Macaca mulatta: one gene and its partners. The protein of the gene in region 1 interacts with the protein of each later gene in a pairwise test. Links are inferred from orthologs where the notes say so. Each region holds a gene or a part of one and is shown in the gene's direction. Other genes may lie near its edges.

Evidence for each region.
Region 2: the proteins of VIM (region 1) and FABP4 interact in a two-hybrid assay, tested with the Homo sapiens proteins (2 studies listed by BioGRID and IntAct). The link is inferred for Macaca mulatta from reciprocal best matches to the Homo sapiens genes VIM and FABP4.
Region 3: the proteins of VIM (region 1) and NOD2 interact in binary tests that used the Homo sapiens proteins (3 or more experiments, as listed by UniProt). The link is inferred for Macaca mulatta from reciprocal best matches to the Homo sapiens genes VIM and NOD2.

The regions. Positions count from the first base shown.
Region 1 is NC_133414.1:18,787,209-18,791,209, forward strand, and holds the start of VIM (vimentin), read left to right. Parts: upstream 1-1,200; 5' UTR 1,201-1,345; coding exon 1,346-1,908; intron 1,909-2,572; coding exon 2,573-2,633; intron 2,634-4,001. UniProt on the Homo sapiens protein: Vimentins are class-III intermediate filaments found in various non-epithelial cells, especially mesenchymal cells. Vimentin is attached to the nucleus, endoplasmic reticulum, and mitochondria, either laterally or terminally.
Region 2 is NC_133413.1:92,013,115-92,017,234, reverse strand, and holds the start of FABP4 (fatty acid-binding protein, adipocyte), read left to right. Parts: upstream 1-1,312; 5' UTR 1,313-1,363; coding exon 1,364-1,436; intron 1,437-3,910; coding exon 3,911-4,083; intron 4,084-4,120.
Region 3 is NC_133425.1:46,148,879-46,153,013, forward strand, and holds the start of NOD2 (nucleotide-binding oligomerization domain-containing protein 2), read left to right. Parts: upstream 1-1,320; 5' UTR 1,321-1,606; coding exon 1,607-1,691; intron 1,692-2,218; exon of another isoform or gene 2,219-2,352; intron 2,353-3,855; coding exon 3,856-4,135. UniProt on the Homo sapiens protein: Pattern recognition receptor (PRR) that detects bacterial peptidoglycan fragments and other danger signals and plays an important role in gastrointestinal immunity.

The DNA.
Region 1 (4,001 bases):
AGTTCGATTTTGAAACTACGGACGTTGAGTTTCCTCTTTCACCCAGAATTTTCAGATCTTGTTTAAAAAGTTGGGTGTGGTTTCACGCGGGGAGGGGGAAGAGCGAGAGGAGACCGGAGGGACGGGGGCGGGGACTCTGCAAGAAAAACCTTCCCCGTGCAATCGTGATCCAGGAGGCCCACGTATGGCGCCTCTTCAAAGGCTGAAGAAGTTTCTTACTAACAAAAAGTCCACACATCGAGCAAAGTCAGGCTTTAGCGAGTTATAAGAACTTAGAGGCGCTCTTGTCCCCCAAAGGGCCCCACCGCACACATCAAAGCGATGGCCCAGCTCTAAGTTGGTAGGACTGGGAACCAGCAGCACGCGCGGAGCCGCGGAGACTCGAGTCAATCTGGTCTAACGGTTTCCCCTAAACCGCTTAGCAGCCCTCAATCGGCGGGACAGCAGGGCGCGGTGAGTCACCACCGGTGACTCAGCGACCCCACCCCTCTCCCTCGGGCTTTCCTCTGCCACCGCCGCCTGTCAACTCCCGCCGTCCGAAGCTGGACTGAGTCCGTTAGGTCCCTCGATAGAGCCTCCCCTCCCCCCAACATCTCCCAGCCAAGGCAAGTCGACAGAGGCGCGGGCCGGAGCAGCCCCCCTTTCCAAGCGGGCGGTGAGCGAGGCTGCGCGGGGCCCTGAGCCCTACGTTCCTGAGCTGTGCGCGCCCCCATCCCGCGTTCCAATCTCAGGCGCTCTTTGTTTCTTTCTCAGCGACTTCAGATCTGCCGGATCCCTTACTCTTCCCTCTTCCCGCTCCTTTGCTCGCGGGTCTCCCCACCTGACCGCAGCCCCGAGGCAGCCGCGCGCTTCCTCCCACGCCCCTCTGGCGCGGTGCCACCGGACCCCTCTGGTTCAGTCCCGGGCGGATCCCCCCTCACCGCGCGACCCCGCCTTTTTCAGCACCCCAGGGTGAGCCCAGCTCAGACTATCATCCGGAAAGCCCCAAAAGTCCCAGCCCAGCGCTGAAGTAACGGGACCATGCCCAGTCCCAGGCCCTGGAGGAGAAAGGCTCGAGGGCGCCCCCACCCCACCCGCCCACCCTCCCCGCTTCTCGCCAGGTCCCTATTGGCTGGCGCGCTCCGCGGCTGGGATGGCAGTGGGAGGGGACCCTCCTTCCTAATGCGGTTATAAAAACAGCGCCTTCGGCGGGGTCCAGTCCTCTGCCACTCTCGCTCCGAGGTCCCCGCGCCAGAGACTCAGCCGCGCTCCCACCACCCACACCCACCGCGCCCTCGTCCGCCTCTTCTCTAGGAGCCAGTCCGCGCCACCGCCGCAGCCCAGCCCATCGCCACCCTCCGCAGCCATGACCACCAGGTCCGTGTCCTCGTCCTCCTACCGCAGGATGTTCGGCGGCCCGGGCACCGCGAGCCGGCCGAGCTCCAGCCGGAGCTACGTGACTACGTCCACCCGCACCTACAGCCTGGGCAGCGCGCTGCGCCCCAGCACCAGCCGCAGCCTCTACGCCTCGTCCCCGGGCGGCGTGTATGCCACGCGCTCCTCTGCGGTGCGCCTGCGGAGCAGCGTGCCCGGGGTGCGGCTCCTCCAGGACTCGGTGGACTTCTCGCTGGCCGACGCCATCAACACCGAGTTCAAGAATACCCGCACCAACGAGAAGGTGGAGCTGCAGGAGCTGAATGACCGCTTCGCCAACTACATCGACAAGGTGCGCTTCCTGGAGCAGCAGAATAAGATCCTGCTGGCCGAGCTCGAGCAGCTCAAGGGCCAGGGCAAGTCGCGCCTGGGGGACCTCTACGAGGAGGAGATGCGGGAGCTGCGCCGGCAGGTGGACCAGCTAACCAACGACAAAGCCCGCGTCGAGGTGGAGCGCGACAACCTGACCGAGGACATCATGCGCCTCCGGGAGAAGTAAGGCTGCGCCCATTGCAAGTCGCTGGGCCTCGGGAGGGGGCTGGAGGGAGAGGGGAACGCCCCCCGCCCCCGCCAGGGCTGCCACGCCCTTGGGGATGAGGCCCGGGGGAGGCCTGCCGGGGGGACTGCGGAGAGCAGCGGCTGTGGCTGTGGCGGCGCAGCCCCGCCCAGAACCCAGACCTTGCAGTTCGCATTTCCCCCTCTGTCCCCACACATTGCCCAAGGACGCTCCGTTTCAAGTTACAGATTTCTTAAAACTACCACTTTGTGTGCAGTTGAAGGCCCTTGGGCACAATGAGAGCGAGTCCTCCAAACTTTTATAAAGTTTCCTGCCCCTTCTGGCGGGCGGCCAATCGCCCGGCGGGCGAAGGAAGGAGGGGAAGGCGGTGGAGGGAGCGAGACAAAGGAATGGTCTCTCGGGGGTGGGTATGGCGGCGCTGTCCTGCAGGTCTGTGCGGCGACCGTGATTGCCCCTCTGCGCGGTGCCCAAGGTCCCACTGAAACCTGCCGAGGGCCACAGGCCTGAAAGCTGCAAGCGCTAGTTGCGCCGAGGTGGCGCAGCGGCTCTGGAGGCGCAGCGCGGCTACGTGGTGGTTGGGTGTGGCCGCCCCGCCCCTGGCGGTTTCCCAGTTCCCCTTTGGTTAATGCGCAACTGTTTCAGATTGCAGGAGGAGATGCTTCAGAGAGAGGAAGCCGAGAACACCCTGCAATCTTTCAGACAGGTTTGTAGGCTCTCTTCCCACTCGCAGCTACCTGACCCCACCCAACACAACCCACGAGCAATTCTAAAAGTTGCTTAACCCACGTCTAAAAAGTGCAAAACTTCAGGGCTGCGCGTAAAGCCCTCTAGTGGCGGGAAGACCACAGATTGGAGCTTCTCATTATTAGAAAAAATATTAATAAAACCGCTTGGACGATTTTTTGGGGGGACGGAGTCTCACTCTGTCGCCCAGGCTGGAGTGCAGTGGCGAGATCTTGGCTAGCAGCAACCTCTGCCTCCCGGGTTCAAGCGATCCTTGAATGATTTCTAAGCCGTTCCTTGGGACATAAAGAAAAATCTTTTAACTTTTTACTTTGTTTGCAAAATGTTGCACAGTTTTGCAACACATTGACCTTCTGGTTTCGAACGGTCACAATTTTAGATTGTGGTTTGCCAAAGTCAAGTCGCTTAATTTTTACAAGGTCACAAAAAGCGCAGTTATGCCCTACAGTTTAAAATGGAAAACGTGTTGGAAGATAAGAAAACTTAGTTTCCAACTGGAATGGAGCCAGCAAGTTTCTTTTCTTCTTTGCAACTTCTATTGTGGCATTAAAGTTCGATGGAAGTATCACTATGCACAACTATTTTGTGATCTAATAAGGGTGAAAAGGAGCCATCTGTCCCCTCGGCTGAGGGGTATTAATGGTTTCTATGGGCTTCACTATGGAATGTAGATACAGACATTCTGGCAAATGTGGTGGCTGTGGACAGAAATAATAGGAGTCTTTGTGTTCCCGGGGAAGCTTTGCAGCAGGCTACATTCTTATTGAATATGTAGTGATGTAAGCACGGTTCTAATTGGACACAAGTATTTGCTAACATCCGTTATCTAATATCTGGCCCAGACTTGAGAAGTATGTAATGTAAAAAGTTTTTAAAGCTACAAACATACCTCACATTTTGAAAGTCCTTTCTTGATTGGATTCTTGTATTCTTTAGCACTCTCGCCATAAAAAATAATAATAATAGTAATAAATCTAAGGCTGAAAAATTCAATTTTAACTAAAGGGTTTTTGTGCGTTTTTTTTTTTTTTTTTTCCCACCAAAATTGGATGGACTTACAGAATTTTTGACTTAAAATTGGAATCCAGAAGCCAGAAGATCCCCATTATAGTCTATAGTTTTATTCCCTGGAATATTTACTGGGATTAACTACAAAGCACTCTCAGATGAATAGTGTAGTACAACATTTTGAAACTGAAATACATTTACCAAATTAATTTAACCACAGCAATGTGTGGTTCATTTTAGTCCTTGAGCATTTTTGATTATCATACCTGTAATGTTTTCTGCAGAGTAGTGAGTTAACGTAAAACAACATCAATACAAA
Region 2 (4,120 bases), on another chromosome or scaffold:
CTGTGCCATTAACAAATGCAAAACCTAACTTTATCAGGCTTTCATAGCAACTTGCTTTCCTACAGAAAATCCTGTTGCTTACAGAATTTCCTGCCACAAACATTTTTGGGAAGCCCTCAGGATACTTACACTGGCTTGTGAATCAATCATATGCTCAGCAGGTACTGTTCAGTGGGATACACAGTGTGGCAATACATCACTCTGAAATATTTCAGTTTCTTTTTTTTCCCCCTAAATCTGGGTAAGTTCGTGGGAATTTGCAGCACACGCGAACATCTTCCATCATTCTTGCATGGGGCAAAGGGAATTGAAAACCACGATTACTTTAGAAAACTAGTTTCACAAATTGGTGACTGTATTAAAGAAGGATATTGGTTTTGGTAGCATGCGACCACACCATTTCTGATCTGAATAAATTCGGAACTTATGACACAGTTCAGAAATTGAATGCACTTTCTCAGTATGAGGAAAGTATTTTAGAATGAGGCCCATTTTTCAAAGGATCTGTGGAAATCAATGCTATGCTCTCATTTAGGAGATGGAAAGAGTGAGGTTACATTATCATTTTGATGAAATCTACAGTCCAGATTACTGGTGGATGAATTGAAACTACTTTTTTATTCATATAAAGCATTTGAAATCAGAAATCTGGAGTACTTTTAAATCCCATTACTTATTTTGTTTTCATTGCCAGGTAATTCCTGAGACAGTACTGCCCCAAAGAGCCTTTGCAATTATGTAAGAATCTCCGAGGCAGTTCTTATGTTCCGCAATTCAAAAGAACCACATAACTGCAATTTAAATACCTCCTCCCCCAAAATAAGGTCAAAGTTTATCTCAAAATAATTTCCCCTTTCTACACTGGGACAAATATGTATAGGAATAATAGAAAATATGTATGGCAATTTCTCAATTCAAAAGAACCACATAACTACAATTTAAATACCCTCCCCCAAAATAATGTCAAAGTTTATCTCAAAATAATTTCCCCTCTCTACACTGGGATAAATATGTATAGGAATAATAGGGGGAAATTCAGTGCACTGAGCATTAAGCTGTCAAAACAGGAATGTTTAAAATATCCTGTTAGTGGTTTAAAAATAATTTGTACTCTAAGTCCAATGACTATTTGCCAGGGAGAACCAAAGTTGAGAAATGTGTATTAAAAACATGACTCAGAGAAAAAAATGCACAGGCTGGTAATGAAGGAAATGATTGGCTATGATTCCCAATTGGTCATTCCTAAGATCACATGTTCTGAGCACCTTTAAAAGGAAGTTATCTGGACTCCAGAGGGTCACAGCACTCTCTTGAAAACTGCAGCTTCCTTCTCACCTTGAAGAATAATCCTAGAACTTACAAAATGTGTGATGCTTTTGTAGGTACCTGGAAACTTGTCTCCAGTGAAAACTTTGATGATTATATGAAAGAAGTAGGTAAGGAAATGCATTGTGGAATGACTGGATTTATAATATTTTCTTTTGGGAACAAGAGTTTATAGCTGTGTTTATAGCAATGTCTGGAAGCCCTGGCCAGAAATGAAAATGCTGCTTTCTATAGAAAGGCTGCACACATAGCAAGTGATAATCATTTGTTTATAGAGAAATTCTGAACCAAAGCTACAACTAATGCTTCCTGAAGGTGTACCAATATTAAAAAGTGTCTAAATTGAATGTTTATGGCCTTTAAAAATGATAAGATTTGACTTTAATTGCAAAACTTGGGTATCCTTGGTTTACTTAGCTCTTTGCCTATTTCTCTTTCATCCCCTTTTGCATATAAAATAAGCAATAACTTGGAAAAAAGTTAGTATGCAATAATTTTCATTTGAAACTGAAAGCACTCTAGTTCCTTTAATGCAATGTTCTTTTTCAATAACTGTATGTTAGCCAATTATTTTCTTGTCTCAATGTTAATCTATTAAAATATGTGGTTGTTTTATGATAGACAAAAATTTTAATTTCAGAAATATGTTTCTTAAACAACTTAAATACTTCCTTTGACTAGAAATGACATAGGATGCCATAGAATTATCAACCAATTTAAAAGGAGAATGTTACGTACATAACATACCTCTTCTTTGATAGTAGAGGTGTTTAATTTTTTAGATGCTATTAACATTGTCAGCATGTCATTGGATGAACGCCTCTCAGATAACAATGGAGGTAAAGTAGAAGAGACAACGTCTCTCTCAGGCAGCTTCTACTTTGAAAGCCTTTCTCCCTCAACCCCATGCATGACAGTCCATGAAAGTCAGAACTGGGGTTAGCAAACTGGGGAGGAATTTTATGCAATCTTCGGGTTTAAAACGTAATTATTAAATCTCAAAACACTTAACCCTCCTGTAAATTATACAGTATATACTTTTTTGCTTGTCTGTAACTATGTTTCTTGTTTTTAGATGATAGGAAAATTGGTGACTTTAGCATGAGAGAGACTTTCTAGGATAAACTAGAGTGATTCAATAAACTAATTAATATGCACGGATGCAGAAATGCCAGGATTTGGGGTCATTTAACTATTTATTTTTAGAAAAATTTTATACTTTTAATATTTATATTTTCTAATAACACTGTGTTTTTAAATTATAAAGGACTGATGATAATTAAAGTCAATAAAACACCTTTTGCATGAAATTGAGGATGAGTGAACAGGTATTGTTTTCATCAGTCACATAAAAGCAAAATCAAGCAAATGGAGACTATGGTTTTTCCCAAGGTCAGCCATTCTAGAATCACACTCAGTTTTGCCTCCATTCACGAAGCAGACTCACTCCATACATTTAATGTTATATTTTGTAACAGAGCCAGGACTTGAAGACACACCTGTGGCCATTTTTCAGACAGCCAGTGAAATCAGAGCCTCAGAATTACTTATTTTGCACCATGTGTCTCTCCCAGTTCTTCCCAATTTCTAACCTTTGGTTGCCTTTAGTCAAAGAAAGAGTTTAGATTTACATGCACATGTTTAAAAAATTCAACACATCTATGACTAATAAATTCTGCATGACATACACAGTGACAGCAAGTTACTGCTATGTTTGGCTGTAAATTATTCATTCCATACCTTGCACAAGACAATATATTCTCCTTTTTAAGAAAGAAAAGTTCACAACTTAGGTGATTGGAAATCTAAGTATTGGCTTCTAACCTATTCTAAACTAAGAAACATTGATTTCTTAAATGTTAAAGTTTTCACAATTTGATGACTAGTCCCTTTTTAAATATCCCCTATAAATTATTAGGAATGATATCACCATTCTAAAATGTTATAAATGTAGGAAACATTTTGCCTTTTGTATAAATTCATCAAAATCTTCATCTCATGGTGGAGTAATTTGAGAAAGAAGCACAGAAAAGTAGACTTGGCAACAAATGCTATGAAATGTGACTTTTGTACACTCAAAACTGACAAACATTTAACTAAGTAACTCTACATTAACCCCCAAAATTCTGTTGAAAATTCTGTCTTTGTGCCTTCTTAAATGTAATATTGAGTATCTAAGATGGAATGGTCAACTATTTTATTAAGAGAGAAAAACAATAGTGGCTAACATTTTAAATATATATCTTCCCAAAGATTTTTGTTGAAAATAAACAATGGGTCTCCTGAGAAGGTGTATCCAGACCAGAGAAAGGGAAATTTAAAGAATAGGCCTATACCTATTGTTTCTCAGAGGTTGTGTGTGTGTATGTGTGTGTGTGTGTGTGTGGTTTTGTGTGTGTGTGTGTGTGTGTTTAAGTATTAACCTGATTTTATCTGCAGGCGCTATTTAAATTAAGGCCTTTAAGAAACTCACTGTGTCTTTTTCCTCTTACACATGCACCTGTGGGCAGACACACATTCTCTGGCTTGGCTAAGTATGTGACAGAAAATGTCAACCTGACATCTTTTCTATTCCTAACTGTAGGAGTGGGCTTTGCCACCAGGAAAGTGGCAGGCATGGCCAAACCTAACATGATCATCAGTGTGAATGGGGATGTGATCACCATTAAATCCGAAAGTACCTTTAAAAATACTGAGATTTCCTTCAAACTGGGTCAGGAATTTGACGAAGTCACCGCAGATGACAGGAAAGTCAAGGTGAGAAATAAGGAACTGGCACAGAGTACATGCCTGG
Region 3 (4,135 bases), on another chromosome or scaffold:
GGGTGCTGAGGCCCCCAGTGTTAGGAACCAGCCAAGAAGACAGAAAGAGTGAAAATCAGAGAGTTGGGGTGCCCTGGAGGAAATGAGGAAAATGCCCCAAAGAGGAAGGAGGGAACAAATATGACCAATGCCCCTGGCAGAGCAAGCAGGCTGAGGGCTGAGGATTGAGCAACGGGAGGTCACTGGTGACAGTTTCACTGGAGCTGGATGGGGAACTTGAGGGTGAGGGAGGGGATGGGAGGACTTGGGGACAGCAGTACAGGCAATAGACAAGGGGGTCTGCTATAAAGGGGAGCAGATAAATGGGATTGGAGCCAAATGAAGAAGGTGGGTGTCAAGAGAGGGCTTTACCTTTACAATGGAGAATATAGTGCATTGTGCACTGGTGGGGGGAATTGGTCTCTTAGGAAGAGAAGTTCAGTGCCGGGGAGGGAGAATGCAGGATGGCTGGGGGAGGGTGGGGGCGCTTGGCCCCAGCAGAGACCCGGGATACTTGGGAAGTTGCGCTTCCCTGGGCTTCCCTTCCTCTCCTGTCTGCAAGGGGTCAGTGGGCTGAGATTTCAGCACTTAAGCAAAGCATTTGCTCTTGGCCCCAGAGAAACCAGGTTGGCTGTGGTCTCAGGAAGGAAGGAGCTGTCCAGGCTCAGACCTGGGCCTGGGTTTCAGGGAGGGCCCTTGTGGGTCGCTCCTTGACCCTCTCTTTCAGCAAGGAAGTGCTCCTTTCTCTACATGGGCCTCACCTTGGGGAGGACAATGGTGTCTTTGAAGTTGTAGTAACTGAAGTAGAGATCAAAAGGCAATGCAGATAGACTAATAGATTTTGCCTGAAGAGGGGAAGCCCGATCAGGTAATAAAGGGGTAAGAGGAAGGATGTGAAGGACAATTTTTAGGAAACAGATAATGAGTGAATATTTTTTCTGTCTCTTTCCCAAGTTAAACTGAAGCAGGAGAAACTGAAGCTAGCTAGACATAATGAATAAATTCCCAAGCTGGTGAGCTTCCTGAGCTGGTTAGTGAGGACAGCACTAAGGCCAGGCCCTCCTCTCCGGATGTTTAATATGAGACAGGACAATGCCTGCTCAGAGACAGGGGACTGGCTGAATTGGCCCTCAGGATTCTCTTTGCTCTGAGGTTTCTGGAAGAAGGCCAGGGCAGAGGTGCGGTGATGCAGCTGCTGGGAGGACAGAGCTCCGAGTCACGTGACTTGGGCGGCCCTCCCCTTCCTGGTGCCCACAGAAGCCCGACGTCACTAGCCGGGGTGTGTATGGCTCACACGTAGGCCAGGCTGCCCTAGGCTTGGTGTGCTAGGGAGGGGCCCCTACTTACTTGTGGCCTGTCCCCTCGTGAATGTGTCTCATGTCCCCAGTGGGGTTTTTCAGGGAGGGTCATGGTCTCCAGGATGCACAAGGCTTTGTGCTAGAATTGCCTGGAATTACCTAGTTCTGGAAGGCTGGTTGGCCAACTCTGGCCTCTGGCTTTTCCTTTGGGAATTTCCCTTGAAGGTGGGGTTGGTAGACAGATCCAGGCTCACCAGTCCTGTGCCGCTGGGCTTTTGGTGTTTTGCACAAGGCCCACCCACAGATGCCATGCCTGCTCCCCAAGCCTAATGGGCTTTGATGGGGGAAGAGGGGGTGGTCCAGTCTCTCCCGATGAGGAGGAAAGAGCAAGTGTCCTCCTTGGACATTTTCTGGGTAAGAGGAGCAGGCATTGTCCTGTCTCAGCTTGACTCTCAGCCTTCTTTCATCCCTGGCTGCGCGCATGCTCCCAGGCCTGGGGTGAGATGGGGAGTGCTGACTGTGGCTCTGGGCTGTTTTCTGGGGAGAGTGGGTGGGTGGTTATTTTCCCCAGGACCCTGGCAGGGGTGATGGTGGGGGCTGCTGTCGCGTCCTTGGCTGATGTTTCCACAGCTGAGAACCACTCCAGGGCCAAGCCCAGAGCTTATTCTACCCCCTTTTGGTCCTCTCTTCCCCCGTCCCCCGCCACCCCACCCTCTTGGCTCCTCTGCTTAGAGGTGAGCACGGGGAGGAGACCTCCTTGGCCTGAGAGAACTACCTTAGTTCCTGGATTCCAGTGGCCTGTGCAGGGGGGGGACACTCTCTCTCCCAAGCAGCCAGACACACACATAACCTCATTGCCTCCGTTTCCCCATCTGACCAGCACAGGGCCTCCTGTGCCCCAGCAGCGTTCTGAGAGATTGGAGGTTTTTCCTTTTGCTTACCTTGGCTGCCGTATGAGGATGGTTACAGTGTTCCTCCCACCCCCAGCCCAGGGGATATTTGATTCATGAACATTTCCACGGTGTCTCTGCGGGGGACAGTGCCGTGCCAGGCTCAGGGATGCTAGGACGAGTAAGACCCAGGCTTCCACGTGACCCAGGCAGGGAGAGAGACACATAAACAACCATCAGCAAAGAGGCAAAATCCCCAGGCCGCTTGGCGTCTACTCCCTCGAGTGGCTGGGAATGTCCCTGATTTATAAAAAGAAGCCGACGGCTCTCTTTGTTGTCCATGCCTACACCCTTTCACTTTCGTTTCTTCGAGGCACTGCACCAGCCCTTGTCCACAGACCCCACGACAATCGCAGAACTAACCATGCTGAGAGATTTTCTCAGCTGCTCAGAGATCCTCCCAGGGCTTGAAGCTCCTGGAGGGTTACTTGCCCTCAAATTCCCAGAACCCACAGCAGGTGGCTAACGGTAGCAGCAGCAGCAGTCTGTGCACGGTGGTTTCGAGGGCGTGGGAGGGAGGTGAGGGCCCTAGGGCAAGTGTGTGGGGGAAGTGTTGATGGGGGACAAGGCACGAGAACGCTTGGAAACAACTTAGTTTGCACCGTAATTTTTCACTTAGCCTAGGATAGGACCTTTAGAACAATACTCTGAGTGTACCCCTTGGAGTAGCAGTGTGCAAAACACACAGCAAGGGCTTGGGGCCCCCGTGGGGAACCCAAATGTAAGAGTTAGAGACATGCATTCTGGAGTTGCACACGGCTTGTGTTGAAATCCTGACTCTGCCTGTCTAGCTGTGACATGTCGTACAAATCGCTGAGCCTCTCGGTGCCTCAGTGTCTTCCTCTGTAAAATGGGCAGATCATAGGCACTACTTCAGAGTGGCTGGGAGGGTTCAGTGAATTCACGCAGGAGAGCACTTAGAATGGCGCCTGGTGTGTTGTTTATGCTTAATTAATATTAGCCATTACTGAAACTGCTGTAGCGTGAATCCGGCCAGTGTGGAGCCCCTCTCACCCTGCTTTGAAGAGAATGAATTCCCTGACTGCTCGGAAGATCTCTCTTTCTCTCTCTCTACTTTTTACATTTTTATTATTATTTTTTTGAGACAGGGTCTTGCTCTGTTGCCCAGGCTGGAGTGCAGCCTGCAACCTCTGCCTCCCGGGTTCAAGTGATTCTCCTACCTCAGCCTCCTGAGTAGCTGGGATTACAGGTGCCCACACCACGCCTGGCTAATTTTTGTATTTTTAGTAGAGAAAGGGTTTTACCGTGTTGGCCAGGCTGGTCTGGAACTCCTGATCTCAAGTGACCTTGGGAGATCTCTTGCTCCTCATATTACCTCAAGCCTTTTTAAATGTTTTAAGCCGGAGACCAAGCATGGATGTGGGAGTTAGGGGTCTTGATTTAATTCTTGGTTGCTTCAAACTCTCTGTGGGACCTTGAGGTGTTTCTTGCCTTCTCTGGGTCTCAATTTTCACATCTGTATGGTGGGGAGCTTGGATTGGGTAATGTCTGAGGCTAGAACCATGGCCAACTCGGGTTCTGCTGGGGCTGACTTGCCCTGGCCTTCCCCAGCCACCCCGCGTCTGGCTTCTGGAGAAGTCCTGCACTGACCTTGTTCTCCTCCCCAGGTTGTGAAATGTGCTCGCAGGAGGCTTTTCAGGCACAGAGGAGTCAGCTGGTGGAGCTGCTGGTCTCAGGGTCCCTGGAGGGCTTCGAGAGTGTCCTGGACTGGCTGCTGTCCTGGGAGGTCCTCTCCTGGGAAGACTACGAGGGCATCCACCTCCTGGGCCAGCCTCTCTCCCACTTGGCCAGGCGCCTCCTGGACACCGTCTGGAATAAGGGTACTTGGGCCTGTCAGAAACTTGTCGCTGCTGCCCAGGAAGCCCAGGCCGACAGCCAATCCCCCAA